Cricetulus griseus: one gene and its partners. The protein of the gene in region 3 binds, or shares a complex with, the protein of the main gene of each other region. Links are inferred from orthologs where the notes say so. Each region holds a gene or a part of one and is shown on either strand. Other genes may lie near its edges.

Region 1 (3,500 bases), on a different chromosome or scaffold from region 3:
CATATAGGTAAAAATAATAATAAATTAATATTTTTAAAAAGAAGGGCCAAGCCAAGCATGGTGGCACATGCCTTTAATCCCAGCACTCGAGTGGCAGGTGGCTGAGTTCCAGGACAAACAACTACACAATGAGACCCTGTCTTAAAAACAAAATAACACACACACAAAACCAAACAAAAAAAGGAAGCATACACCTTAATTCCAGCACTTAGAGACATAGGCAGATCTTTTGTGAGTTCAAGGCCAGGCTGGTCTGCAGAGACCCTGTCCAGAGGAAGGGGCAGGAGAAAAGGTCTTACTGACCACCCAGCTACCATACCTCTGGTACAGGCACTTGGTGGACAGACCAAGTGCCCAGAGCAGTCACTAAGTCTTTTTCAATAGCCCAAGTGCCCTCCTGGCAGACCTCCACAGTACTGCCAGCAGGGACCCCTTAGACTGTACCTAACAGCACCCACAGATAAGACAGCTGGGTCACTATGACCACTTTAGAGCCACCTGACTCTTGTAGATTGTACTTCTCAAAAGAACAGACTTTTTTGTGAAGCTGAGCTTTGGGGTAAAGGGGAGCCTCTTTGCCCTTCCAGAGGGATCCCCATGTGCCCAGCAGTGCCTTTCTCTGCTCTCCTCTACCTTGGGTACATAGTAACTCCTCTGGAAACAGGACAAACCCTGGCACAGAGCCTTCAGTGCCCCCCCACTCCCATAGATGCCCCCTCTCCTGGCAGCACCTTCAGGTAGGAGCCGAAGTAGCGGGTGATGTAAGGGCTGTCACACTGGCTGAGCACAGTGATCTCCTGCTGGATGTCCTCAATCTCATCCTCTGCCTCTTCCAGGTCAATGATCTTGATGGCCACCACCTCCTTGGTTTGGTTGTCGATGCCTTTGTACACCTCCCCAAACGAGCCCTTGCCAATGCGGTCAAGCTTGGTGAAGAGTTCCTCTGGGTCCACACGAGAATTCTACATAAGCCAGAAGGGACAGAATGCTGAGACAACACCCACTAGAGGAAATACTAGAAGAGGGCTGACTGCTGACTGAGGGTCTGGGCCACTGCAAGGAGCTAAAGAGAACTCACCTCAATCCTTTTCTGGCTTCTTTATCCCTTGTCCAGAAAACCTAAATGTAACTCTCCACTCTCCAAGTGACACTATATTCAATAGACTTGATACAGTGAATCAAAGTATCTGTAGACTCAACTCAAATGTATATTTAGAATCAAATGTATTAGCAATACCACATCTCAAAGTGCCTTCTTCAGTTGTCTAACAGAGAGCCAGGCCAAGACCTATCAGGAATGACAGGTAGGAGTATGTGCGTGCCAGAGGGTACTGTAAAACTCATTTTACTATAAATCTAAAACTGTTCTAAAAAAAAAAAACAACAAAGTAATGGACTGGAAAGATGGCTTGGTGGCCAAGAGCACACACTGGTCTTACAGTGTGTGCTCACTGCTACAACCTTAGCTCCAGGGGATCTGAGGTCTCTGGCCTTGGAGAACACCTGCACTCACATGTGCATAGCCCCAGTAATTTAAAAGTAAAATTCATCCAGGCATGGCGCATGCCTTTAGTCACAGCACTCAGGAGGCAGAGGCAGGCAGATCTCTGAGTTCAAGACCAGCCTGATTTACAGAGCTAGTTCCAGAATTCCAGATAGTCAGAACTGTTAAACAAAGAAACTCTGTCTCAAAAAATCAAAAACAAAACGAGAGATTAAAATTTAGCAAAGCTAACTTATGTTTTCCATACTTAAAGTGCCTCTCTATTCTCAAATTAGTCCTCTAGCCAGCTACATTCTCATACCAGTACTGAGTTGAACACTTTCTCAGATGTTTAATTCTAGATACTAAACACAGAAGCATTTGTACCTAATATAAGTCTCTGGGAGTTACTTGGGACCTTAATGTGGTGGCGGGCGGAACTCAGATGGCCTGGTGGAAAGCGTCCACATGGCAGCAGGACTCAGGCAGCTGGGCGTAAAGATTTATCATTACAAGCTACCCTAGACAGCCCTCAGATTTAACTAGGATCTTATCATTGCTGAACCGATCATGTTGAAGATGAGCCAGGATGGCAAAGGTGTGTGCTCTGTCCAAACCACGCTAGGTTTTGAATCAGGGCTGCCTCCAGAGAGGAAAGAAGCAGAAGAGCCTCTCCCAGGGCCACCACTGAATGTCCCTACTGTGCTACCTGGCAGACTGGAAAAGAACATGTTCTCCATACCACTGGCCACGCTGGCACAAGACCTCAAAGGGGAATGCTGAGTCTCATCCAGGTTTTCAACCATGCTAAGTTTCACCTCCATTAGGAGATGGTCACCCCAAAAGGATGTCCCCCAAACAGTATTTTGGTGCCTGTTAAAAGGAACCCAAATCAGGCGGGTAAGATGGTTCTTCTGGTAGAGGCACTTGCTACCAAGACTAACAACCTGAGTTTGGTTCCCTAGACCACATGGTGGAAGAGAACTGACTCCCAAAGCTGTCCAGTGACAACACACATGCCATGGTACACACACGGAGAGGTGTTGTTTTGTTTTTAAGGGGGGGACCATGGAAATAACTCAGTGGCAGAGCACTTGCCTAGCATGCCCAAGGCCTGGAATTCAGCTCCCAAATGGGGGGGTGGGAGGCCGAGACACAAAAAGGCAAAACCACACTTATTTACAACTGTCTAAGTACTGATGCGCAAATCCCTCTGCTTAGGGAAGAGCCTGTCCTAGGTGTTTACCATGTTTCTAAGAAGCCTGTCCTCCAAAACTGACATAGCTGCCTGATTCCCTGAAGCCTAACTGCCCCAGCTTCTTCTCTGCAAGCAAAGCAACTGGTTTCAGACCCCATCTGAGACAAAATTGCCAACTAGCTACATTCTTAAGGTTTTTAACCGTGAAAGAAGTAAAGGGAAGAGACAGAGGACCACACTCCCCAGCCCTCGACAAGCCAAGAACTGCAGAACAAGATGAGGTGAGCAGAGAGAAGTTCGGGGAAGAACTCCAGGCACAAGGGCAGTGTCTTAACACAGAAGTCACCTAACCCCTCTAAGCAAAGCTGCCTCCAAGAGGCCCGAGTGTGTGCCACAGTGCCATGCCTGGCCCAGAGCAGGCACTCTGAGCAGACTAGCTGTGGTGTCCGTATGTGCTCTGGTTTGGCCAGGGGGCTAGAGAGATGGCTCGGTAGTTAAGAGCACATGGGTTTGGTTCCCAACAGCCCACGTGATCTCAAGCACTTCCCACATGTGATGCACACATGCATACATGCATATACTCACACATACACGTAAAGTAAATAAACCTATTTTTTTTTTTAAAGAAGATGACGACAACAAAAAAGAAAAAGGAAGGAAGGAAAAGAAAAAGACCAAGACCAGATGGCTCAGTGGGTAAAAGCACTTGTCACCAAACCTAACAACCTGGGTTTGATCCCTGGACCACATGGAAGGAGGAAACCAATTTCCATAAGTGGTCTTCTAATATTTACACTGTGGTACATACATACCTACCCA
Region 2 (4,101 bases), on a different chromosome or scaffold from region 3:
TGCTGATGCAGACACTTTATGGAAAGCAATGAACCCCCAACCAGAAACTAAGCATTAGCCAGGCAGTGGTGGCGCATGCCTTTAATCCCAACACTTGGGAGGCAAAGGCAGGCAGATCTTTGTGAGTTCCAGTCCAGGCTGGTCTGCAGAGCGAGTTCCAGGACAGGCTCCAGAGCTACAGAGAAACCCTGCCTCAAAAAACCAAATATGCATAAGAATTGGGATCCTAAATATGGCGCTTCCCTGCCACCTGTGGGCAGCTGTTCTTTCACTCAAAAATTTTGATTTTGTTAACAATGTCCTTTTTTTTCCCCCCCAGAAAGATGGCACTGTGAATGCTGAAGAAGAGGCAGAAAGCTGTGAGGCCATGTGGCTTGAATTCAAAGCTAGGCTGTTATCAATCAGCTGCCAGATCTTAGGTCATGTTCACCCAGTGAGACTTATGACAGACTTCTCATCTCCAGAACCATAAATAAAACTTTATGCTGCTCTATACTATTAAATTTATGGTAAAGTGTTACAGAAGCCTTACAAAACTGGCACAATGACCTAAACTAACCAACTTCCTTACTATCCCTGGGTGCATATTTCATCCAAGAGCTTCCCTCAACCTTAGTACCAATGTCTTTAAATGGGACTTTTTTTCTTCCATGAGGGATGGCCTATACACAACAACAATGTATAACAGCATTCCTGACGCATACCCATTAAAAGCAGCAACAATCTCCCAGTTATGACAACCAAAACATCCCTAGACATTGCTAAACATCCCTGGTGGCAAAAATAGCTTCAAGCTGAGGACTACAGTCATTGCACAGGTATAGTCCCTCTTTCTGTAAGCCTCACCCCCAACTTCTCAAGCATTGCATCCTGGAAGGAGTCTCTGAACTGGTCCAATTCCTCGACCAACATTTAGATGTTATGCACTCTGCCCAGAACCCCACAATTCCTTCCTTGACCACAAGCAGGTACCGGCTCAACTTTTCAACAAGACTTCTCCACACTTACTCTAACAATACACCCTATATTCCTTATTTTTCTCTTTACAACCTTTCACAGTCAACACAATCTGCCACTCCTCACTACAAGGTAGATTCTTCCAAGGCCAGTTTTTGTCCTTTTCCTCCCAGATGTACCCAAACACCCAGAGCACAGCTCAGAACACAGGCCCAACAAACAACTGCTGATTCATTATCGCAACACCGACAGGTCTCGTCCCTTTTCACAGGTGGTAGTATATTTATTTAGTTCTCTTTACCTGTTTCACACCTGGCTCCTGGGCAGCAACCAGCCTGTTTCTTTGTTGATACAACAGAGTGTGTCACTATGTGGACTAGGCTAGCCTTGAACCTACCACCCCTGCTTCCTGAGTGCTGAGATTGCAGGCATGCACCACGACGCCTGCCCCCAACAATGACATTCCTGGTAACACCGCATGTGTTTACTCGACACTAAAACCAGGTTGCTATTCCCATTTAACCGAAGAGATTCACACTGGGTTGCCTGGGTCAATCAGCAAAACGTGCAAGGCCCGGAAATACAGCTCCAGCCTGTCTGGCAGCAGAACCTGAATCATATCCACGAGACTTAGAGGCTGGGCGCAGCCTCAGGTTACCCAGTGCACCACCAGGAGAAACAGGGGCACCGCCGCAGAGCACGGTACCACAACAAGCCACTCCCCTCAAATATAACAGCTAACATTTACGGGGCCTTTACAAGCGGCCAGTTTTATTTTACTACCTCTCCTCAGCCACCGGGGTAAGCCAGGACTATTATTAGCCGGTATTTGGTAGAAAACGGAAGCCAGGGGCGATGGAACAACGTGAACACAAGGTCATCCTCAGGCCTTGAGGTCTGACCTCTCTCTCTCTCTCTCTCTTTTTTTTTTTCAGAACCACAGCAGACCCACTAAAAGCCCCTGGGCCTGGGTCACTCTTCTCCCGCCAACCTGAACTATCACCTCCCTTGGCAAAAAGTCCGGCCTGGGGCGAGCCTGGGGAAGGGGGTGTGGGGTGGGGTGGCGTGTGCACACGTGACCCGTCCCTGAATTAGGCTAGTCGAATTTCGGGAGAGGAGGATGCCTTTCCACGTCCTCCTCTCCCCTCCTCCTGCATCAATACGAGGCGGAGGCCCGAGAGGAGTGGGCTGCTGCCCTGGTTATCAGCACCCCTGGGGCCCAGGATGGAAAACACCGAGGAGCAATGGGGAAATCGAGGTCCCCAGCACCCAGGAGGGCTTCCCCTCCTCGGCGGCTCACGCGCCCCCCCGGGTGGGGGGGGGGTCATTCCGAGTCCGCCGCCGCCAATCACCCGACGGGCCGCCGGCCCCAGGCTCCCTGCCCCAGCCCATCTCGGGCCGCCGGGCACAGATTTCCCCGGGCGGCCGCGCGCGCCCAGGAGGGACCCTCGAGGCTTGCCCTCCGCTGGGGCCCACGGCCAATCAGGAGCGCCGTCTCATGGAGTCTCGCCCCTCGGCACGATGAGACGCGGCTGCTGATTGGCCGCCGCTGCCTTCCGCCACTCCCGGAGCAGCCGGAGCCATCTCTCTGTCTCCCCGTCCGTCCCGCATTCCGCCGCCGCCCCGCAGGTCCCCGGTCTCCCCCCCACGACCCAGCTCTAAGGGCAGGGCGCCCCGGGCGCACCTGGACGTCCTCATTGCGGAGCTCGTCTATGAGCACCGCGATGGGGTAGAGCGAGTCGTCGCCGTCGGCAGCTGCCATCTTGGCTCCCCGGCGTCTCCGTCAAGCTGCGGCCAGCGCCGGGCGGAATCCAGGATCGGGCGGGGCGGCGCCGTGTTGGGCGGGGGAGCGGGTGGGGAGAGAGAAGGACGCGAGAGGGCGTGGGGGCTCCCGGGCCACGCTACAGGGGCCGTCCCACCCCCATTGGCCGCCCCGGGTCGCGTCTGTTTGGTCCACACCAACCAAGTCCCGCCTACCTCCCACGCTCCATTGGTCGGGGCGAAGCGGGCTGGGCTTTCCGCCGGGCGATCGGAAGCGGAAGTGGGGCGTCTTAGCGACCGAAATTGTGCCCGCCTCGCGTTACCGCTGGCAACCGCGGAAACGAGCGGGGCTCTGAGCCAATGAGGAGCGAGGGTGGGAGGTGCGGGGGGCGGGGGTGCGGCTCTGCGGGGCGGTGCGGAGAGAGCGTAAGGTGGGGTGTGGAGAGCGGTGAGTGACGTAGTGGAGGACAGGCTGGTCGGGGCGGACTGGGCGAGCCCTTGCTATCCGGCTGAGGAACATGTAGTTCTTTGGTTAGAAGTCAGCGAGCCGGAAGGTATTTGCGGGTGTACGCCCAGCGCTGGGACCCCCCCCACCCCCGCCCCCTTACCGGCTCCTATGAATTCTCACAGTCACGTCCCCTTAAGACTGAAAAATGCACGTTTGAGAGGGAGCAAGGTGCAGGGTTGGCTGCAGCCTTGTGAAGATTATCTTCTCTTAGCGACCCATGGTTATTTTTGTAATTTTTTTTTAAATTTGCTTTTCCCTTCCCTGCCTCCCCCCTCCCTCTTCTCAGAATAGAGAGACAATTAAAACAGAAAACGCCCTTCCGGAGAGAGTGGGCATTGGTAATCCGTGATGTGCCTTGGGATCCAAGTGTGTCTCTGTCTGGCCCTGAGTGGAGGCACGAGAACTGGGAAGCCCGGGGGAGGTATGGAGAGGTGGCCCCTAACGCTGCTGTGTGGACGAGGCGTCCCTCCCGAGTTGAATGATCTGTGTAGAAACCTCTCCCCTTTCCTGTGTCGTCTCCCTTCGTATCTAGCGATGCTTTTCCAGTCTCTCCTCTTGAACTGTCTTGGGTTAGACATTTTAGGAAATCCTGGATGCCTTTATAGTCACAAGATGGGGTGGGGGCGCGTAAGTTGTGTTTGTTACTACCAGAGGATAACCGGTACTGGGCTTGTCAGGGGTTAGTGTGAATAGGCGTTTTTAGATGTCGATGAGTTCTTACTGGCATGCTTAATCAATTTATGTAAATCGTGAGAATCCGAATTAAAAACTGAGGTTTTCACTTAGCAGTATTTTGATTTTCTGTTTGTACTCCTTATCTCTTCTGCTGAAAATCCTTAATTTCTAGTGACATTGATATAAAGATAGATCTGAAT
Region 3 (3,500 bases):
ATTCAAATGATTGCACTTTAATTTGCATTGCAGTATCACTGTAGAAAGTTGTAATAATACACAAGGCACAGATGAGACGACTAAGGAAAGTGAAACTTCCCTTTCAGTTTTTATTGATATTGAAGTACCCATTCTGATCTGAAATCTAAAGTTCTGCCGTTAATGTATATTACTTGTTTCTTACTTTAGCAACATTATAATATACAAAAAGAGGGCATTAAAATGAAGCCATAGGGAATGTTTTAAGGTTGGAAGGCAATCCCTTTAGGACACTGACATTATTAGGAGAGCCATCTTTTCCTGGACCATCTCTGGCACTAACTGATAGGCTTGTATATCAGAGTGTTTGTAGTAACTTACTGACTTAAAAAAACAAAACAAAACAAAACTGCTGTATGAGCTATTCTGAGGTTGATAGACATCTGTTTCCCATAAGTGGCTGATAACCTGATTATTTAATCAAAAACTGTCCTGTTAAAATTGACCGAGATGGTAAGGGATCTAAATAGACAAGATCTTTGTGTTCTGCTTCCATCCTGGGATAATTATATGGTGTTTATTCAGTCTGTGGAAGATTTCTACGTTGTAGTTTCAGGACATTGGTTTATTTCTATTCAGTAGTAGGACTTTTTTTGTGTGTGGAAGTGGGAAGTAGAATTCATAATATTGCTGAATTTTGTAACTGTTTCGTGCTTAAATTCCCCACAATATTGTATTGTACTGTATGATTTTTCAGCATTTAAGAAGCGGTTTTGTTCTTTATAGCTGAACCAATAACGTTTCCATCTGGAGGAGGCAAGTCATTTATTATGGGTTCTGATGATGTTTTGTTAAGTGTACTGGGCCTTGGAGACCTTGCAGACTTGACGGTAACAAATGATGCAGACTATAGTTATGATGTAAGTGCAGTTTTATTTTTAATTTTTTAATGATTTAATAGAAGGCTCCTTATTCTTTGGAATCATTTATAACAGTGAATTAATGTCAAGGTGCATGGAAAACATGTTTAAGTGTGTTGATGTGTTGATTTGAAATAACATGTAATTTTGCTTTAAGTTTTTTTCCTTTGTGGTGTATAAATCTTTCTTAGGAATTTTGGTGGATTAGGTAAGAGTTTGGGGTTATTACCTTAAAATATTGGTTGTTAACTACATCTTGAGTAATTAACTCTTACTAAGTTAAAGCCATATTTTAGTGTTAACAAAATAAATACTATCGAAATCAGGTTTTTGCCATCATGAAAAGTCTTAAAAGCCATGTTTTGTTTTTGAGCTCTTATTTTGTCAATCACAACAAAGTTAGCTTGTATCATTTCCTAAATGTTTAGCTTCACTTGAGGGCTAGAAGAAGGAGATAGGAAGAACTGTGTTAGTATTAGACAGGTGTTGATATTTTCCAAGCATAAACACTCGATTAGAGTTAACTATATTTTAGATTTTTTTGCATTCACTTTAGTTTTTCAGCAAATTTCTTCCTTTTTTTAAAAAATTTCTTTTTTAACATTAAAAGAAATTTAGACTTAATTTAGGATGTTTTTTGTAACGATATTTGCCTTGGTGGGCTGGGCTATTGTTACTAATAATTTTTAAAGCATATTTACAACTAAATTGAGTAAACTTTTAACTGCTTTAGAATTGGATTAACAGCTTGTCTTTACTGATACAGAAGTAAAGGTGAAAAGATTGAGCTTTATTATTATGAAGGATTAGGAAAAAGTGCTTGCTCAAAGCCCTGGGCTTGATCCCTAGCACCACATAATCTTGGGCAGCGTAGCTCATTCCTGTAGTCCTAGTATCTGGGAGACAGGGCCAGAAGGATTGGAAGTTAAGGTTAATTACATATGAGCTCAAGGGCAACATGAAACTCTGTCTTTCAAGGAAATTAAAAAAAAAAAAAAAGAAAGATGTAGGAAAATATTCTTAAGGAGTTTTTAGTTCATTGTTTTAAAAGTCCCTTAACTGTCTGCCTTGGAATTGTTCATATACTGGTCAGTTTCCTAAATGGAAACTATTGTGTTTACTGTAACCTTGAGTATTTGGTAATGTTTATATTCTGTTTTGGTTTTGTGTAAACTATTACAGCAGTGACAGTTTTCTGTTCTCATCTATCTCATCTGACATTTGATAGGAGTTTTGGATTTATTTTTTATTTTATTTATTTATTTATTTATTTTGATGATTAGGTGAAAACAGATGATAAAGGAACTCTTCTACCTGGATATTTGAAAGTCTTACAAAATTATTTTTCTGAATTCTTATATTCTGAATTCTTACATAAAGATAGACTTGCTATGGAGTTTTTAAGGTCATTAAAACAGCTTCTGGATATTTTAGTGGAACAGTTTTATATGTTTTAAACACACCAAAAAGAAAACAGAAAGTCCACATGCCTGCCAGTTCGTTACTTTTACCTGTAAATAGTGCACTTTTTCATTTTAGTTGCCGGCCAATAAAGATGCCTTTCGAAAGACTTGGAACCCCAAGTATACACTACGTAGTCATTTTGATGGAGTGAGAGCATTAGCTTTTCATCCTGTAGAACCTGTGCTGGTTACTGCCTCTGAGGACCACACCCTGAAACTTTGGAATTTGCAAAAGACAGTTCCTGCCAAAAAGCAAGTATTTCAATATTGATTGTTTTTTCTTCTTTTAATTTTGTTCATATGGATAATTATTATTCTTTACTATTCCTGTGTTTTAGTATGTCTGTATTGTCAGCCAGTGATTCACAATGATTTACTGTGTTCTCTTCCCCCATCCCTTTTTTCCCTTTTAGGAGTGCCTCTTTAGATGTAGAACCTATCTATACATTTAGGGCCCACATGTAAGTTGGTTTTTTTTTTTTTTTTTTTTGGTTTATTTTTTGAAATAGTACTTAATGAGCAACTATAATCTCCAAACCTAATTTCCCCAATATTTGGTGTTAAAGGAGATATATTAGTTTAATAATGCCTTGTTTGATTAATTATATTTGAATATGATCAAATAGTACTTTTCAGTTGTACATTTTTACCTAAAACCTCATAAATGATTAGATTGAGGGATGTGGGGTTTGAGTTTCTTCTTAGAATTTATAAGTAATTTTTCCTCTCTTTCTATAATAGTGGCCCTGTTCTTTCATTAGCTATTAGTTCTAATGGAGAACAGTGTTTTAGTGGTGGTATTGATGCAACCATTCAGTGGTGGAATATGCCTAGTCCTAACGTGGATCCCTATGATACATATGGTAAGTAAAGGGGCACAATGGATCTTTTCAGTGAATAGACCTGACAGAATTCTGTAGTTCAGATGTTATTACAAAGTTGTTCAAACATATAATTTGTTCATTTAATTCTACTTGCTAGAAAGTTTCTTTATTTAAAAAGACAAATATTATGGCTTGAGAGATGGCTCAGGGGTCAAGAGCATTGGCTGCTCTTCCAGAAGACCCAGTTCAGTTCCCAGTATCCACAATGGCACAACTGTCTGTAACTCCAGTTCCCAGGGTATCTAACACCTTCA
Region 4 (4,164 bases), on a different chromosome or scaffold from region 3:
AAATGAATCTCCAATCCACAGAGTTTTGAGTCCTACTAGAAACATAAGTTATGCAATGTTCCAGACATTTTCTAACTTGAAAAAAAGTTTCTTTGGTTGGTTTAGCATATTTAAAAGATCACATAAAACCAGTGGCAGTGTTTTTAGCCTCTGATCTATTCTTCATAAAGGAGTTGTTTATGCTACCAGGTGGTGGGGGTCAAATGTAAATGGTTTAAAATGTTATAGTGGGTTTAAAAAAAAACAAGATGTGTAAAAAGTCTGTTGACATAGATTTTTCCCTAATAAATGATACCATAATGGGGCAGAACTGCATAGACATCGAATAGGAACTTGGATCCCACTCAGTAGTCCTTTGGACTGGACAAATGCTTAATACACCTTATGAGAGAGATGAAGAGATGGGCCTGGGAAGTCATCCCTTAGGTACTCAGAATGGGACCCTGCATTCTTTCCAGCACTTTCCCCTGTACAGGTGGGGGAGCGAGATACAAGTTTGCTTTAAGTAGCACTGAAAGGGAAAAGAAGTCATCTCACTCTTCTCTCTTTGCACACAGGAAGAGCCCAATTCAATGCCACCACCACTCCTGGTGTCGCTCCGCCCCAACTTCTGTGTGTGTGCCGTGTGGGGGGCACCGCTTGGGTGTTTTAGCCCACACATCCCAAGATCCCTTCATCTCATCTAGGTTAAGTTCTGGAACAACACCGCCACCCCCCCCCCCCCAGTCCTCAACCATGGCATGATCAATAAGCCAACAAGTACAGGTGCCTAAGGTTCTGGCCTATTTTTATATGTGCACCCCTCCCCGCCAACCCCAACCCCCATTTACTGTCGCGCCCCAGTCGCCCCAATCTCTCCCGCGCAAAGCACCTTCTTAGCCCAGACACCAGGAAACACCTCGAGCTTTACTTCGGGGTCACCTGGAGAGAGATCTGGCCCTACCTTCAGGTTTGCCCGGTGGCTGCCCCTGGTCTCTGGTGCCCAGAGCGGGGCTCTGGAGCAGTCACGTGGGTGGCAGAGGAGGCCTGGGCTTTCTCACCTGCATCCCGGGCACTTGGACAGCCACCGGTGAGTGGGCCATGGAGGCGATTGCTACTTCGCGCTGCTTCTGCGGTGGTGGCGCCTTCGGCTCAGACTGGCTCCTCCTACAGGGGTAGCTCGGTTGCTCTCCCAGGCTTCTCGATCCGGGCCTGGAAGGACGCAGAGAAGTGGAGTTAGTGGGCTGGAGGCTTGCAGCCTCCACTCCTCCAACCCCCTTGCTGGGAGGTGAGAGGTTCGCGGCACTGCTCCCCGGGACTCAGTTTACCTCTCAGACACCCGCCTGCCGAGGTCGTGGCCAACTGGGTTGCTGCTCCTCTTCCTGAATGCAGGGCTGTTCGTGCGGCAGTGGCTGGGACCTGGGCTCCAGTGATGCCGCTCGGCTGCGCCTCGCCGCTTTAGGAAGAGGAGGTGGAGGCGCCCCAGCAACCCGCCCGATCGCTTAGCCTGGGAGGAGGTTGGGGGCGGTTCCGCACTTGGCCCTGCCTCCACCCCGCTGCCGGGCGGTGTCTGGGGAGCTGAAGCTTCAGGCTGCAAAAGGGTTTGGCTAAAGTAGCTGGAGTCAGAGAAGCAGGAGACTCTCCGGATTTGTAAAAAGCAGCAGAAGCCTGGGATCAAGAAACTTGGAATACAACTGGGCCTGGAGAAAAATAGAAGAGTGTGCGAGAGCTGGAGTCGCGTGGGGGATATGAGGGCGACCCGGATGAACCCGGCCACGTTGCAGACAGGCTGGGGAGGCTGTGTACCTCACAGAGGCGTGTAGCCTCACAGAGGTCTGTAGTTGAAAAAGTTTTGCTTGGCTCCCCCACCTGGCCGAGGGTGGGGCCTCCGAGCCAGACACCTGCTCCTTCAGCGCCTTAGGCTCCTGTCCTCTTGCTTTTCAACTTTCTTACCCCTAGATATGCCTCAAGTCACTTTATCATGAACCTGTCCCTACCTTAGGCTATCAGTTAAGGAATGGAGTGGCTGAAACTTCTCACAATTTCTGCGTGTTTAAAAGAGCGGCAAATTGGAACGGATCGCCCATTGGCAAAAAAATTAAGGAGGATAACAGGGGCAAGGAGCATGAGATTAGATCTTTGGCAGCACAGATAGTTATACTTAGCATACATAGCCATGACTTCTGCAACCCTTTGCCCTTTTCCAATTTAAACTCAACTCCAGGAACAAGGCAAGCCCTTTTGGGGGGACCCAATAACAACAGTGACAGTGATAATAATAGCAGTCACAGGAATCTCAAGGAAGCACCTTTGTGTACACAGAAAGGGCTAATGCTAATAATAGGCAAGAGCCAGTCTAACATGAGAACACACCTTTGCAGTTTGTTCCGAACCTATGCACCCAACACACTGTGGGGGAAGCTCCAAGTAGACACTCAGCAATTGCTATTCTCAATTAATTATAAAGGAAGAATAGCATTTGTTGAGTGTCTGTTTTCTCCAAGAGAAGAATCTGGTTCTTATCAACATGGTTATTACTAATATTTTATTTTCTTTGGGCCAGACAGCCCTAAATTCAGGCTTTGTGTTTTGTAGTGAGTTACTGTGACAAGAGCTCACCTGGGTCACACTGCTTTCTCCCCATTGAGCAAACAGAGCAAAAGGCTCAGCCAAGTAAACATTTGACTCAAATACTGCAATTAAAAAGTGATACATCAGAGAATTCCAATCTAGGTACCTCCTGACTACTTAACTACCTTCTATATGGTTTCTGTTTACTTGGAACGTTATTAAAGGACAACATTGCGTCTTCCTTAGTCATAGTGCTTCAAGTCTAAGTGTTCTCTATTTCTACCAAATCTAGTGTCTATTTCCCACTAGCCCAGCACACACTTTATACTAGCCTACTCAGAAGCATGCAATGCCACTTAAACTTTAATGCCCATAAAGATCTCAAAGGGGTTTGCTTGTTTATTTGTTTGTCTGTTTTTGAAGACATGGTCCCACAATATTTGTTTGTCTAGCTTTGGAGACAAGGTCCCTGCCTAGACTGGAACTCCCTACATAGACCAGGCTGGCCTCAACCTCACAGAGATCCACCTACCTCTGCCTCCTGAGTGTTGGGACTGAAGGCGTGTGCCACTGTGCTGGGTTCAGAGGATCCTTTCAAAGTGAAGATTTTGAACCTGCAAGTCTGGAGTTAGCCCAAGAATTTGCACTGTTAACAAGGTCTGAGACGATGAGATGAGACCAACAGTGATTCTTAGTAATGTGAATCAGGCTCCATCATTAAAGACCCACCTCAGGTAGGTCCATTGAACTTTCTTAGACCCACCATCCAATTTTCATAGTTGCTCTGTGCTCACATTCAGAATCCTACCATGTGTACATGGAAGCAATGCTTACACTGTTGATCCTTCTTTGTATTTCTGACATTGCATGCCTTTTATTTGACCACCAACCTTACTATGTGCTTGAGGCCAGAGATACAGCTTCTCTTCTGTGAAAGTTATTCAAGAAGAATGGTAACTCTCTGACAGTGATCTTGCTTGTTGTTGTTTACTGCAGTATTCCCAGAGCCCTGCAATGTTCTGTGGCACCAAGTAGGTCCTCAATATATATTTGTTAATTGAGCAAATGCATTTCCTTAGAATTCTTTTCTGATGTTGGTATGTGTATTCTGAGGAATATATATATATTAAAGGCGTGCACCACCACTGCCTGGCGGAACAGTATATTTATTATCAGGCTAAACTCATAGACACTGCTCTTGGTTAACCTTGAAGTTTTGATCACTTTTTATATGTTTTTATATATATTTATATATTTTTAATATATTTTTATATACCATTCAATTTTGGCCTAATGTGTTGTTTCCAGCTACTTAAATTTTACAACTACCTAAGAGAATGTTTTATAGTTCTAGTAAACAAGTGAACTCTAATCATAACAGAGAAATACCTTTCCTGACATCATGCAAGTCTAGAATGATGCAGTAATATTGAAGAATTAACACTAAACTTTGACATCTAGTCTACTGAGACAGTTTCTGAATGGCACCGATGAGCACCTTTATTTCAGGTATGTTCATCTTGAATAAACCATTCGTTATTGCTACTATTGATAAAGATCATTTGGGGATTTATTTGGGGTTCCTTATGGATTTGCTTATGCTTTTTTATATTA
Region 5 (3,500 bases), on a different chromosome or scaffold from region 3:
CACTGAGGTTTTTCATTGGCATTTTGAAGATTCAAGCCAACACAGCAGCAGGAGGGAATGCTGGGAGTAATTTGGAGATAACCAGAACTAAATGAGATAAACTGGCGAAAGCTTCCCAGAAGAAACCTGCTGGCCAGGTGTTGGAAGGGGCACTGAGATATTCTTGCCAGAGTAATAATAATAAGCTCTAAGGTCATACATGTGAGGATTGCCGGGAAACCAACAGATTGGGAACTGAAAAGTTGTAAAAGAAGGAGAAGGAGAAGGAGAAAAGAAGAAGAAGAAGAAGAAGAAGAAGAAGAAGAAGAAGAAGAAGAAGAAGAAGAAGAAGAAGAAGAAGAAGAAATGGGAAGATTGCAGTAAATAAGGTGGTTCTTCTGAATCACTTAGGTCTGTGCTCTAACCAACTTCCAGCTGCCAACACAAAGATCATTTTGCTTAAGGCTCCGTCTGCAGCCCACACTGGGCAGTCAGGAAGTGGGGAGAATTGATACACTCAGTTCTCAAAAGTGACTAACAAGATTGAGAAGATAGGGGGTTGGTGGGGGTGGGGGCTGGGGGAGGAGGGAGCTGGGATTGACATGTCAAAAAAATGTCAAAAAAAAGATTGAGAAAATAATTTTGCTTATCTTACTCTGGGGTGAGCTAACTCTGAGTTGTGTGTTTTGTACTATTTCCAGAAAGTCCCCTGTGATTAAACTCTTTGAGCTGCCTCACTTCCCCTATTTCTCTTCTGGAGATTCCTGAAGATCCCTTCCCCAGTAGACAATTTGCATTTGAACCCTTATCTCAGGATCCACTGCTGGGGTGGGGGTAGGGGCTTAAGATGGACTTTTCTCCATTGACTCACTCATTTAAGGAAGTTCTTATGGGCCCTGTTTAGTCCGTGAAGTATGGGGAAAATTCCAAGAGCATGTGGCAGGGTGGAAAGAACTGGGGTAGCTGCCCCCTCCCAACTCCTACTCAACTCTCTGATCCTCTAGGCACTTTTGGGGAATGTGATTCAGAGGTGGATGTGCTTCACTGGTCCAGATACAACTGCTTCCTGCTCTATCAGATGGGGACCTTCTCGGCCTTCCTGGAGCTACTCCACATGGAAATCGAGTGAGAAGCCCTAGTGGAGGGCTGGCTTAGAAACGGTCTTAACAAAAGGGTTCACATGTCTGTGGATTTCCTCAGCACATTTCCCGACAGGTGTTGAGTCACCTCACATCTCCACTCAAAGCTCACCGGCAGTTTTCCCCTACCCCCTTTCTTTCCAGATTCTATGTTCTTCTACAATCCTGGGCTTCACAGGTTACCCTTTTAATCTAAGTACCTTCTCAGCTGAACCTAACTCTGGAATTCATATAGAAAACTTTTTCCATCGCAAACACAACACAAGAGGAACAGACGAGTTTCTGTCAATGTGCCTAATTATTTCCCTCAAGAGTTGTAACCGTAGAAGTGGCCCGTCTGCTGCTGCTACTACTACACTGGACCCTCTTTCTCTTACACCTGCCATCCAGGAGTTTCAGATACACTGAATTCTTTTGATTATTTATCAGGTCTTGCTTAGTATCTGTTTTGTGTCCAGAACAGTGGTAAGCATTGTGGGTGAAAGACCCCCGGAGACCCAGGCCCTCGGGATCTCAGCCCAGGACCATGGCCACCCCAATCACCATGCGGAGGCGAAAGCTTGATACAAACAGCACGAGGCTTTATTATAGTTGTTTAACGAGCTAACCCCATGTTAGTTCAGGTCTTTCATCCATCCACCATAGCGGATGGCTAGGAAAGACGCTTGGAAGCTACTGCATAGAGATCTTGTAGGGCAGCATAAGGGGAGTGTCTAGGGGTATGCACAGGCTCAGGATTGGCTTGGAGGGTTTGCCCTGTGTTGATTGGTCCCTTCATGGGGAATCACAAGAGAAATTGATACCATAGACCTTATCTTTTGCCTGTCTTCACCATAGATGAGGGTTTACTGAGGTAGCAAGGGAATTCTATGGGTTCCTGTACCTTAGATCAGTTTCACTGTGGATGTATAAGCAGGGAATGGCCGGTGTTTGGTAAAGAGTGAGTGAGAGCAGAGAGGAAAGAGGCCTTATGGGTCCCTGTTCTTTCATTCCTCTCCATGGCAGCAACAGCCAGGCCTCCAGCAGTGCCCTTCGGAAGCCAGCCGTCTCCATTGCTGACAGCACTGAGCTCAGGTGAGTGAGGGAGACCTTGGGCTTTGGACAGAGGGGTGATTAGCCTGGGTTACCCTTTTCCAAATCCCAGATGAGTCAGAAGTTCCCTTTTAACTACTCTTATCTGATTGGACTCCCACTGACATCATCCTTCAAGTCTCTAACTATAGTCTGGGAACTACCTTGGGAATCTCTTAGGATCCTTTTGTAACTTCTAGGGTGCTGCTGAGTGTCATGTACCTAATGGTGGAAAATATCCGCCTGGAGCGAGAAATAGACTCCTGTGGGTGGAGGACAGCCCGAGAGACCTTCCGAACTGAGCTCAGTAAGAACTGGCACTCGAGGAGGGGTGGGTATGGAGAATTGAGGGTGGTTGGGAGGCAGAGTTCCTGCCCGGCGGAGGAAAGCAGTGCTAACTTGTTATCTTTTTCTTTTTAAAATTAGCATCTTTTCTTTTTTAAGACAGACATGTTTCATGGGACATGAGGGCTGGGTTTTATTGCACCCCGAGTGTCTTAGTTCCCCTAGTTAGAAATGAGGATAACCATTCCTCTCTGGTTTCATCATGAATCCCATGTTGGGGGGAAAATGAGCTGAACTGCCTTAAAAATGGAACCTTTTTTCTAATGTAAGTTGAAGTAGTCATCTGAGAGAGATAGGATATGAAAGCATTTAAAAAATATATTTATTAATGTAAATAAGTAAAGAATAAAGTGTGGTCCACAAGATACCTTGATTCCTTCAGCTAGAAAGTCACATGAGAACTTCCTTAAAGTCCTTAAAAGTAATCATTACTGTTACTTCCTATTTGGTATGACCCTCAAAGCATTACCTTAATGACCTCTAGGGTGGGGCATACTATTTTACCACAATATCCTCCTCAGTCCTGTGCTTTAAGGGAATTGCCTCTGGGGGCTCATTATGCCTCCTCTCAATACAAAGTGCTCTGGGAGTTTTCAGGGAGGTTGAGTGCCTTCCTCAGTGTGCCCAGACTCTGGGATTTTTACTACGTCATCTCTGATTCTCTTTATACCTCAGGCTTTTCCACCCATAATGAAGAGCCTTTTGCCCTCCTGCTCTTTTCCATGGTTACCAAATTCTGCAGTGGCCTGGCGCCTCACTTTCCAATAAAGAAGGTTCTGCTTCTGCTCTGGAAGGTGGTTATGGTGAGTGATCTCCATTCCCGTCTCACTGATCAGAGCTAGACAGCAGAACTGGCTATCTGTTAGCCCCAGCTAACTGAGAGGAGCAAAAGGCCCACCTAGAATCATCAAATATTCTGTATCATTGGGTTTCTGTTTCTATTGGATGAATCCATTGGATGTCACT
Region 6 (3,500 bases), on a different chromosome or scaffold from region 3:
CTGTGCTGAGATTCAGGCTACGCCATCTCTCTAGCCAGGGAAACTTATCCAGTAGTTTCCTTCATCTGAATCAAAAATACCCTTGACTTAACCTGCAGCAAAGCTGGGCCAACAAAAGAAACCAACCTGAAAAACACTGGCCCTCTTTCTTCTACCCATTCATAGCACTGATACTCACGGCATCTCCTCAGGCAGAACATCTGCCAGGATGTTGATTGAGTCTGTTTTGGCTTTTGATGTGGGAGCTGCAGCCAGTAGGATCTTCAGGAGGGCAATCTGGGAAAAGCAGACTACTCAGATGGGCATCAGAGCCCAGGGCCATAATGGAGTCCTGAGAAGTGGGGTCTGCAAGTGGCAGGAGCCTTGTGGGGTGAAGGAGATCAGCCTATAGGGTATCTCATCACAGGTACCCACTGATCACCCCGAGAGAGAGGTCCCAGACAGAGTACTCACCATATACTGAGGCAGGCTGGGGAGCAAGCCTTGGTAGAGGGTTTCTGCAGGAACTTGTTCAACTTCTTCTTCTCCCTTTAATACAAAGTCACAAACACAAAAACCTATGTCCAGACTACAGTCTCCTGAGCCAGAATCTCTAAGTATTAAAGTGAAGAGTGACACTGATGATAATGACAGGAGGTTCTGAAACATACAGCATGGCAGGAACTTCAGTTGGATAGTTTAGTTAATTCTTATTATAACCTTCTTCATAAGGTACCACAGTCATACATGTTCACAAACACCTGTAACCACAGCACTGGTTAGGCCGAGAGGTATCTGAGGCCATTCTGAGCTGTACAGTGAGGCCATCTGGGTTATAGATAGATGTTATCTCAAATAAACAAGCAAGTAAATAACAATGAAGGCACTAGTCTATCACCGCTTTTATTTTTTTTCTACAGGCAGGGAACAAAGCACCAAGAGATCAAGTTTTGTATTCAAGCTGCTGTTCAGGGACTGAAAGAGCAGGACACGGACTGGAATCTCTTCAAGGAGAGGCTGAGCAGAGCAGCTTTATGGACCAGGCCCAGCTAGGAGACTGAGAGCAGTTGGGGACACCATGGCTGTAGGCCCCTAAACTCACCCCTGAGAGAGGAGAGCGAAGGAACTCCTCCTCCATCTGTGCCTGGACCTCTGCAATTGATGTATACTTGTGCTGAAAAGAGAGGCAAGAAATATGGTGCTGAGAAAAACACCCTTACTCTCTAGCCACACTCCCTCTCCCCTCCCCAGGCTGGCAAAGACCCAAGATTTTATTCTGGTCTTCTGAGAGAGGGCTAAGTCATAGCAAAGATCCCTAAGAAACTGCAAACTTATAATAGCTCTCTAAGGAGGCATCTACTTCTGACAGCCTCTGTGAAAAGCCCACAGTAGATCAGCAAAAAGCAAACTACAGTGGGGGAAAGAGCTTTCAAAAGCAAAAATGACAGGAGCAAAAGACATCAGAGGCAAAAGTAACTGTGTACTCAAAAAGCCTAGCTGCAGAGACCACGTGGTATTACCAATTCCAAAACTGGACTTAAAATACGACAGTCCAGATACATCAGAAACACTCCTCCTGATCCCTGGTGTCTCCCCCCTCCCCACCTCATCCTTACTCCCACAGCTCCTTCCCAGCAGGGAGCACAGGAGAAAAGCAAAATGGTCTTGGCCCCACCCCTGCTTTAGACTCCACCAGGCTACCTGCTGAGAGCCTTTGTCCTGTTGGCCCTCCAGCTGTCTGGGACTGGGTACTGAGCCTGCCAGATTTCTAAAGTAAACTTAGCACACTCAAGGTGCTCATAAGTCTTGCTCCCCAACCATTCTGTGAACAGCGAGGCTGACAATATCATCTAAACCTGCAACTCCTCTCAAACCCAAGGTTTCTTATAAGAAGCCTACTTATGGGCTCCTTCAACTCTAAGGCTGTGTATAACACATCCCTAAAAGATGTCACACTTAAGAAGAAGTGCTTCCCAGCTCTTGTTGGCAGATAATAGCCTTGAAAGGCTTGTCCTTTCTCACTTTACTCACCTGGGACTAAACAAGGCCAAAAGATCCCTTAGGGCCACTTACCTGTTTCAGTGTCTTGATGCTTTCGTGGATTGGCCTTGGCAGCCCCACCACTGTGTTGGTGTCACTGGAGAACAAAGAAAACCTTGTGCTGAGCCCAGACATCCACGCACCTGTCTACTGCCCCAAGGTGAGGCGAATGAACCTCAAAAGGAACTCAGGTCACACTCACCTGCCTAGAGTGTAGCCTATGAACTTGCTGCGGCTAGATTCAAGGAACATCTCAATGTCTTTCTCTCTACCAAAGGAAGAAAGAGGGACAGATTTTTACCACGTATTGTTTCAAGGTATGCTACTATCTTAGGCCTGTGTTCTAATAATCAAAGCATCTCCAAATTGTGACTCTAAGACAAGGAAAGGTCTCTTACAATAAGGGGAAAAATCTGAATTCCAGCTAATTTTGTTGTGTTCATAAACTTGAAGTACGTTTATATTTCTATAACATTCATGGCTAGCTGACTCAAAATCAGGGAGGCATATTAAACTTAAAAGCACAATTTATTCAAACAATAGTAATATTTAATACTTTCAAACACTAAGAAGTGTAAGAGATATAAGTTACAGACTTCAAACGGGTCATTTTCTTGTCTCAACAGAAACACCTTGGCTTTTTGGGTTCTACATTCTTCTCACTCAACCCAGAAAGCTGAGGACTTACCCCTTTTACATCAGTTCATATACACATCTATTCAGTTCATAACACAAGATGCTGCCTATTAAGATACACATTTCTAGCTACCTTTCCATCTATTGACTCACCCAAGGATACTGTTCAATGCATTAAGTGGTTTTATAAAACTCTTCATCTTTCGTTTTATATAAAAAGCCATATACAACTCTAATATAAGTGGGGATAGGTTTGCCTAAATACACATTTTATTTTTCCCCTATCTCTCTTCACTATCAAATTTGACCAGTTCAAATTACTGACACAGGAGCTGCACAAGGGTTATTTGTGTGCTATCAGCAAGACCATCCTCACAGATGTGCCCAGGATGGCATGGGATAGTTTAAGGTCATCTTAGCCTTGCAGAGGCGCTCAGGTCAACACTGGCCTGAGGACATGAGGGGTCTAGAACTCTGAGACTCACCTGACCTTGGGAGCCCAAGGGAGCCCTTTTGGGCAGGTAAGCCTGTCAGTCTGAGGGTGCTGTAGTGGGGGAGGCATCACCTCGTCTCGCTCAAGGGGAAATGTCTCCCCCTCCAGGCTGTTGTCATCGTCATTCTCCTCTTCCTCTTCTCGAGAGTCATCAGTCTTATAGGGGTCCCGCTCATTGAAGGCATCTAAATTGTCCTGCTTTATCAAGGCCTGAAAGCACAGGGAACGGGAGCCGAGAAAGCTTGACAACTGATGAGATGATGGCAGAGGCAAGCAGTTCAAATGGAACAGAAAGGTATCAGATAGGGAGCTGTGACACTGAAGAACACAGAGAAGGACCTAAGACTAGAAT
Region 7 (3,959 bases), on a different chromosome or scaffold from region 3:
AATCTGTGGTACGTCAAATAATTTCCATTTTTCTAAAGACCATTTGACACCCAGGTGCCAGGTGTGGTGGCACATACCCATAATCCTCGTCCTTGGGAGGCTGAGGAGAAAGGATTAGGAGTTAAGGATTAGTCCAAGCCAGCCTGGACTAAATGGGACCTAGCGTCCCCATCCCCAAGTAACAAAACAGACAATAACTCAAATATTTAGATATTTAAAGACATCCCAGTTCCCTAAAACTTGTAAGTCAGTAAAATCCACCTAATGGAATGGGAGATGAAATGTAAATTGTATCTTTCACTGTAGTAAATAGTAGCTTCCAATTTAAGAACTAAAAATTAAAATACACAATACATGCAAATATATAATAAGTAAGCACTGTAGAAACTAAAAACTAGTTAGTTTTTTCCAAATTAAATAGTAAGCAACTAAAACTAAAATAGAGGAACTGCCACAAAATGAACAAGACTCCCCGGTAACATAATGTGAATAATTTAATGAAATTAGTGACTACTTGCTATGTGGAAGATATGGATAAAACTGAACTAATGCCCTCAACACTACAAAACTCATGGTTTAGTAGAACATACAAGTAATCAGCAAAGTATTCACGGAATGCCTTCAACGCTAGCTGCCATCTTGCTTGCTATCTAGCTTGCTATGTAGTCCAGGTTGGCCTACAACTCTAAACTGTCCTATCTCAGGTTGAAAAATAGATGTTGGTGAGAGAGGTGACACCATCCAAAAGGATGTGAGAAGCCCCCGTCCCCTTCCTTTATTCATATCTTCACAAAGCTTCAGTCAGATAGAGTGACTATGAAAACCATGAAAGAGGAACATGCTTTTCTGCAAACAAAACAACAACTCAGGATTTCAGTTTGGTTTATTTATAATTTATGTATCAGGGTTTCCTTACTGCAGAGTGGGACTGGTGAGCTTTCAGAACTGGTTCGGTATCCACTGCTTTTTTAGCAATCATTAACTGTAACATCTGTTTCCGGTACTTGCTCATGATGAGTTCCAAAGCATCCTGGTGTTCCTCCAAGGAAACCCACAGCTCTAACAAAAAAGCAAACATCTGGGCAATGATGTCTGTAACAGGTCTCAAGGCAAACCTCCTAACAGCTGGGGCTTTCTGATACTCCATGGGATATTGTGAATCCAAACTTGGAAATTGGTATTCCAGCCCACAGAAGTGAGTAAAGTCTATCTGAAAAACAATTTTCTAGGCAGTGGACTTTTGTAGAAGGAAATGGGATATGTAATCATAAGACACAGATTTGAATTCAGTTTTCTCATTTACTTGCTTAATTAAGACTCAGAAGCAAAATGAGCCCATTTAAAAAAAATATTATCACATTTTGTTGATTTGTGTGCAAATACCACAGTGTACATGTGTGGTCAGGAGTCATTTCTCTCCTTCCAATGGAATTCTGGTCCTTAGGCTTGGCTCTTCAGGCTGGTGCCATTACCTGCTAGGCCATCTTGCTGGCTCATGTGAACCTGTTTCTTAATTGCATTGTGTAAACACTTGGGTTGTGGACTTCAAAATGACAACAGGGGATGGAACGGAAGGTGTAAAAAGGTCTCTGCAAGACAACTGCCATACTGTTGTCATTACCAACCCGAAGAATGTATATTCTGGAGACAAAGTTCAGCCTTCCATCTTGCCCAGGAACATTAAAAAAAAAATAGATAAATAAAAAAAAAAAACCTACTTCGATATTAACTTTAGTGTTCACTCTAACATATATCAGAAATTACATTTTGAGACTCTGAATTTTAGTTATATAAGCCTCCATCTGGTATGTGCCCACCCCAACCACCAAACAACTCAACTCTACTAAACAACTCTTTCAAACTCATCTTTCAAAGACTTAAAAAAGAGCAACCTAATAGACTTTATTGTTACCAGATGACCCTCTTAAGCACTGACCTTAAGCACTGACCCTAGTTATGAGATGTGTAAGCTTATGAACTTATTCAGGCACTTGTGTAAGAACGTTCAAAGTATTACTAGACATACACACACACAGCCCGACTAACCTCTGTTTTCCTGCTGCAAGTCTCTAATCTGGGTATTCTCTTGAGACAGCAGAATGTGAGGTTTATATTTAGACATGTCCTTCACGTCGGGTGCATCCTCTTGATACTGGACAGAGAGACTGATTAAGCCGCTGCAAACACAGCAGGTGCTGCAGAGGCGGCAGCAGTCCCACCCATTCCACAGGAAGCTCTCAAGCCCTCCCTGTCCTCCGCACCAGGATAATTAGACGGTGACCCCACCTGCCCTCTCCCCGCAGCGCCCACCGCCCAGGGCGCGGCCCGACCCGGCCCGACCTGCTCGGGCAGCACGGCGCCCGCCTCCCGCATCGCCGCCACCCGCCGGTGCAGCGCGGCCGACTGGTCCACCAACGACTCGGCCGCCGCATCGTGCTCGCGCAGCCGCTCCAGCAGCGTCTTGGCGTCGGTCAGGATCTTCTCGATCGTGCAGCTCATAGTGGCCGAGGACGCCCGCCCGGCCCGCTAGCCTCAGCGATTCGCTCAGCCCTTCCCCAGTTTGAGATCAGCGCGATCGCGTCACTTCCGGGCACACTTTAAAGGCGCCTGGGCAGCCTGGTCGGCGTCTGCGCAGTGGCGGATTCGCGGTAACTCAGGCTTCGCCGCAGATTTTCTTGGGTGGAGCCGCAGAGGTCGACTTGGTCCCAAATTCTGGTTCTTCACGATGTTACAGCTGTTCCTGTCTCAGTTCTCCTTTTCTTCTGGTTTTGATGGATGTGGTTTGTTATTTAGTCATGGGTTTTCAACAAATCGATGAAACAAACACCTCCCCCCCCCCCCACACAAGTGAACACACACTGGAACCTCTCACTTTCTCCCTCCTCTCTTCCTTCCTCTTTGTCCTTCCTCTTCCTTCCCACCCCTTCTTCCCTTCTTACTCCCCTCCCCTCTCTCCTGTCTTCCTCCCTCCCTCCCTTCCCATTCCTTTAAAAGGTGAACAGTGACTGAGGTTGTCCTCTGACCTCCACATACTCAACTGCACCTGTGTATACAAATAGCGTGCGCGCGCGCGCGCGCGCGCGCACACACACACACACACACACACACACACACACACACACACACATTAGTATTTCAGGTCTCAAATCGAAGCTATGTTTTGGGATGCTGTCAATGCTTTAAGATTAGATTATGAGGACTGGGACTGTATGCAAAACTACTGAAGGCTACACTTACCAGTGTGGCAGTGGACTTAGGGATGTGGCACCCAAGAAATATAATGACACACAAGTGAGATGGCAGTTCCCTTATCTAATAGAACACACCCAAGAACTGTGACTCGCTAATGGATAGAAAAGAAAAACAGTATGGATTCCAGATCGCCTTTTACCGGTTTATTGTCTTGGGATGCCATAGAGAGTAGAGGGCAGGGGACTTGTGGGAGTAAGTGGGGAAAACAGCCAGTGATACACTAAATTTTAGTTCAGTATGCAATATAAACAGGCAGGTGGTAGTGGTGCACATGTTTAATCCCAGCATTCGGGATGCAGAGGCAGGCATATTTCTGTGAGTTCGAGGCCAGCCTGGTCTATAGAGCAAGTTCCAGGAACTTGCTGGGATTAAGGGCGTGCACCACCATCGCCCGGCTACAAATTCAATTTTTAATAAATTGGAAAAATGAATTAGGTAAGTTTATTTGCTTCACTTCTCCCTCCCTCCCTCCCTCCCCCTCCCTCCCTCCCTCCCTCCCTCCCTTCCTCCCTCCCTCTCTCTCTCCCTCCCTTCTTCCTTCCTTCCTTCCTTCCTTCCTTTTCTTTCTTCTTTTTGTTTTTTGAGACAGGTTTTCTCTGTGTAGCCCTAACTGTCCTGGCACTAGTTCTGTAGACCAGGCCTGCCTCTGCTTTCCTAGTGCTGTGATTAAAGGCATGTGCCACCACTACCCCGATACTTTTTTCTTT

Evidence for each region.
Region 1: Strn3 (region 3) and Stk25 share a complex: the UniProt entries of both Homo sapiens proteins name them as parts of the core of STRIPAK complex. The link is inferred for Cricetulus griseus from reciprocal best matches to the Homo sapiens genes STRN3 and STK25.
Region 2: the proteins of Strn3 (region 3) and Ppp2r1a are in contact, whole or in part, in a crystal structure (PDB 6IUR), measured with the Homo sapiens proteins. The link is inferred for Cricetulus griseus from reciprocal best matches to the Homo sapiens genes STRN3 and PPP2R1A. Residues at the interface, in NP_001077362.1 of Homo sapiens: Asn109, Leu110, Asp113, Arg116, Arg117, Lys119, Met120, Leu121, Tyr123, Ala124; in NP_055040.2 of Homo sapiens: Leu10, Pro12, Val15, Asp18, Glu19, Asn22, Leu27, Asn30, Ser31, Lys34, Leu35, Thr37, Ile38, Leu40, Ala41.
Region 4: Strn3 (region 3) and Stk26 share a complex: the UniProt entries of both Homo sapiens proteins name them as parts of the core of STRIPAK complex. The link is inferred for Cricetulus griseus from reciprocal best matches to the Homo sapiens genes STRN3 and STK26.
Region 5: Strn3 (region 3) and Strip2 share a complex: the UniProt entries of both Homo sapiens proteins name them as parts of the core of STRIPAK complex. The link is inferred for Cricetulus griseus from reciprocal best matches to the Homo sapiens genes STRN3 and STRIP2.
Region 6: the proteins of Strn3 (region 3) and Strip1 are in contact, whole or in part, in a cryo-EM structure (PDB 7K36), measured with the Homo sapiens proteins. The link is inferred for Cricetulus griseus from reciprocal best matches to the Homo sapiens genes STRN3 and STRIP1. Residues at the interface, in NP_001077362.1 of Homo sapiens: Thr64, Pro66, Gly67, Leu69, His70, Tyr71, Gln73, His74, Val88, Glu89, Ala91, Glu92, Ala95, Arg96, Phe99, Leu100, Glu103, Gly106, Gln107, Leu110, Asp113, Leu114; in NP_149079.2 of Homo sapiens: Arg441, Ile445, Tyr447, Leu449, Thr455, Val456, Val457, Gly458, Leu459, Arg491, Ser492, Pro493, Leu494, Ser495, Phe792, Leu793, Pro794, Val795, Asn797, Cys798, Leu799, Val802.
Region 7: the proteins of Strn3 (region 3) and Sike1 are in contact, whole or in part, in a crystal structure (PDB 6AKL), measured with the Homo sapiens proteins. The link is inferred for Cricetulus griseus from reciprocal best matches to the Homo sapiens genes STRN3 and SIKE1. Residues at the interface, in NP_001077362.1 of Homo sapiens: Arg176, Leu179, Tyr182, Leu183, Val186, Tyr188; in NP_079349.2 of Homo sapiens: Glu96, His97, Ala100, Leu103, Ile104, Ser106, Lys107.

What each region holds. Positions count from the first base shown.
Region 1 is NC_048595.1:445,073,187-445,076,686, forward strand, and holds part of Stk25 (serine/threonine-protein kinase 25), read right to left. Parts: intron 963-3,500; coding exon 732-962; intron 1-731. UniProt on the Homo sapiens protein: Oxidant stress-activated serine/threonine kinase that may play a role in the response to environmental stress.
Region 2 is NC_048602.1:19,092,718-19,096,818, forward strand, and holds the start of Ppp2r1a (serine/threonine-protein phosphatase 2A 65 kDa regulatory subunit A alpha isoform), read right to left. Parts: upstream 2,801-4,101; 5' UTR 2,720-2,800; coding exon 2,642-2,719; intron 1-2,641. UniProt on the Homo sapiens protein: The PR65 subunit of protein phosphatase 2A serves as a scaffolding molecule to coordinate the assembly of the catalytic subunit and a variable regulatory B subunit.
Region 3 is NC_048598.1:150,652,855-150,656,354, forward strand, and holds part of Strn3 (striatin-3), read left to right. Parts: intron 1-765; coding exon 766-899; intron 900-2,438; coding exon 2,439-2,614; intron 2,615-2,775; coding exon 2,776-2,823; intron 2,824-3,103; coding exon 3,104-3,225; intron 3,226-3,500. UniProt on the Homo sapiens protein: Calmodulin-binding scaffolding protein which is the center of the striatin-interacting phosphatase and kinase (STRIPAK) complexes.
Region 4 is NC_048604.1:19,104,084-19,108,247, forward strand, and holds the start of Stk26 (serine/threonine-protein kinase 26), read right to left. Parts: upstream 2,801-4,164; coding exon 2,758-2,800; intron 2,673-2,757; coding exon 2,599-2,672; intron 1,778-2,598; coding exon 1,308-1,777; intron 1,192-1,307; coding exon 1,041-1,191; intron 1-1,040. UniProt on the Homo sapiens protein: Serine/threonine-protein kinase that acts as a mediator of cell growth. Modulates apoptosis. In association with STK24 negatively regulates Golgi reorientation in polarized cell migration upon RHO activation.
Region 5 is NW_023276806.1:197,891,294-197,894,793, reverse strand, and holds part of Strip2 (striatin-interacting protein 2), read left to right. Parts: intron 1-11; exon of another isoform or gene 12-368; intron 369-983; coding exon 984-1,104; intron 1,105-2,123; coding exon 2,124-2,192; intron 2,193-2,389; coding exon 2,390-2,496; intron 2,497-3,209; coding exon 3,210-3,337; intron 3,338-3,500. UniProt on the Homo sapiens protein: Plays a role in the regulation of cell morphology and cytoskeletal organization. Required in the control of cell shape. Calmodulin-binding scaffolding protein which is the center of the striatin-interacting phosphatase and kinase (STRIPAK) complexes.
Region 6 is NW_023276806.1:49,539,204-49,542,703, reverse strand, and holds part of Strip1 (striatin-interacting protein 1), read right to left. Parts: intron 3,359-3,500; coding exon 3,141-3,358; intron 2,288-3,140; coding exon 2,222-2,287; intron 2,117-2,221; coding exon 2,053-2,116; intron 1,154-2,052; coding exon 1,082-1,153; intron 529-1,081; coding exon 454-528; intron 277-453; coding exon 179-276; intron 1-178. UniProt on the Homo sapiens protein: Plays a role in the regulation of cell morphology and cytoskeletal organization. Required in the cortical actin filament dynamics and cell shape. Part of the striatin-interacting phosphatase and kinase (STRIPAK) complexes.
Region 7 is NW_023276806.1:53,975,811-53,979,769, forward strand, and holds the start of Sike1 (suppressor of IKBKE 1), read right to left. Parts: upstream 2,801-3,959; 5' UTR 2,500-2,800; coding exon 2,341-2,499; intron 2,153-2,340; coding exon 2,047-2,152; intron 1,060-2,046; coding exon 917-1,059; intron 1-916.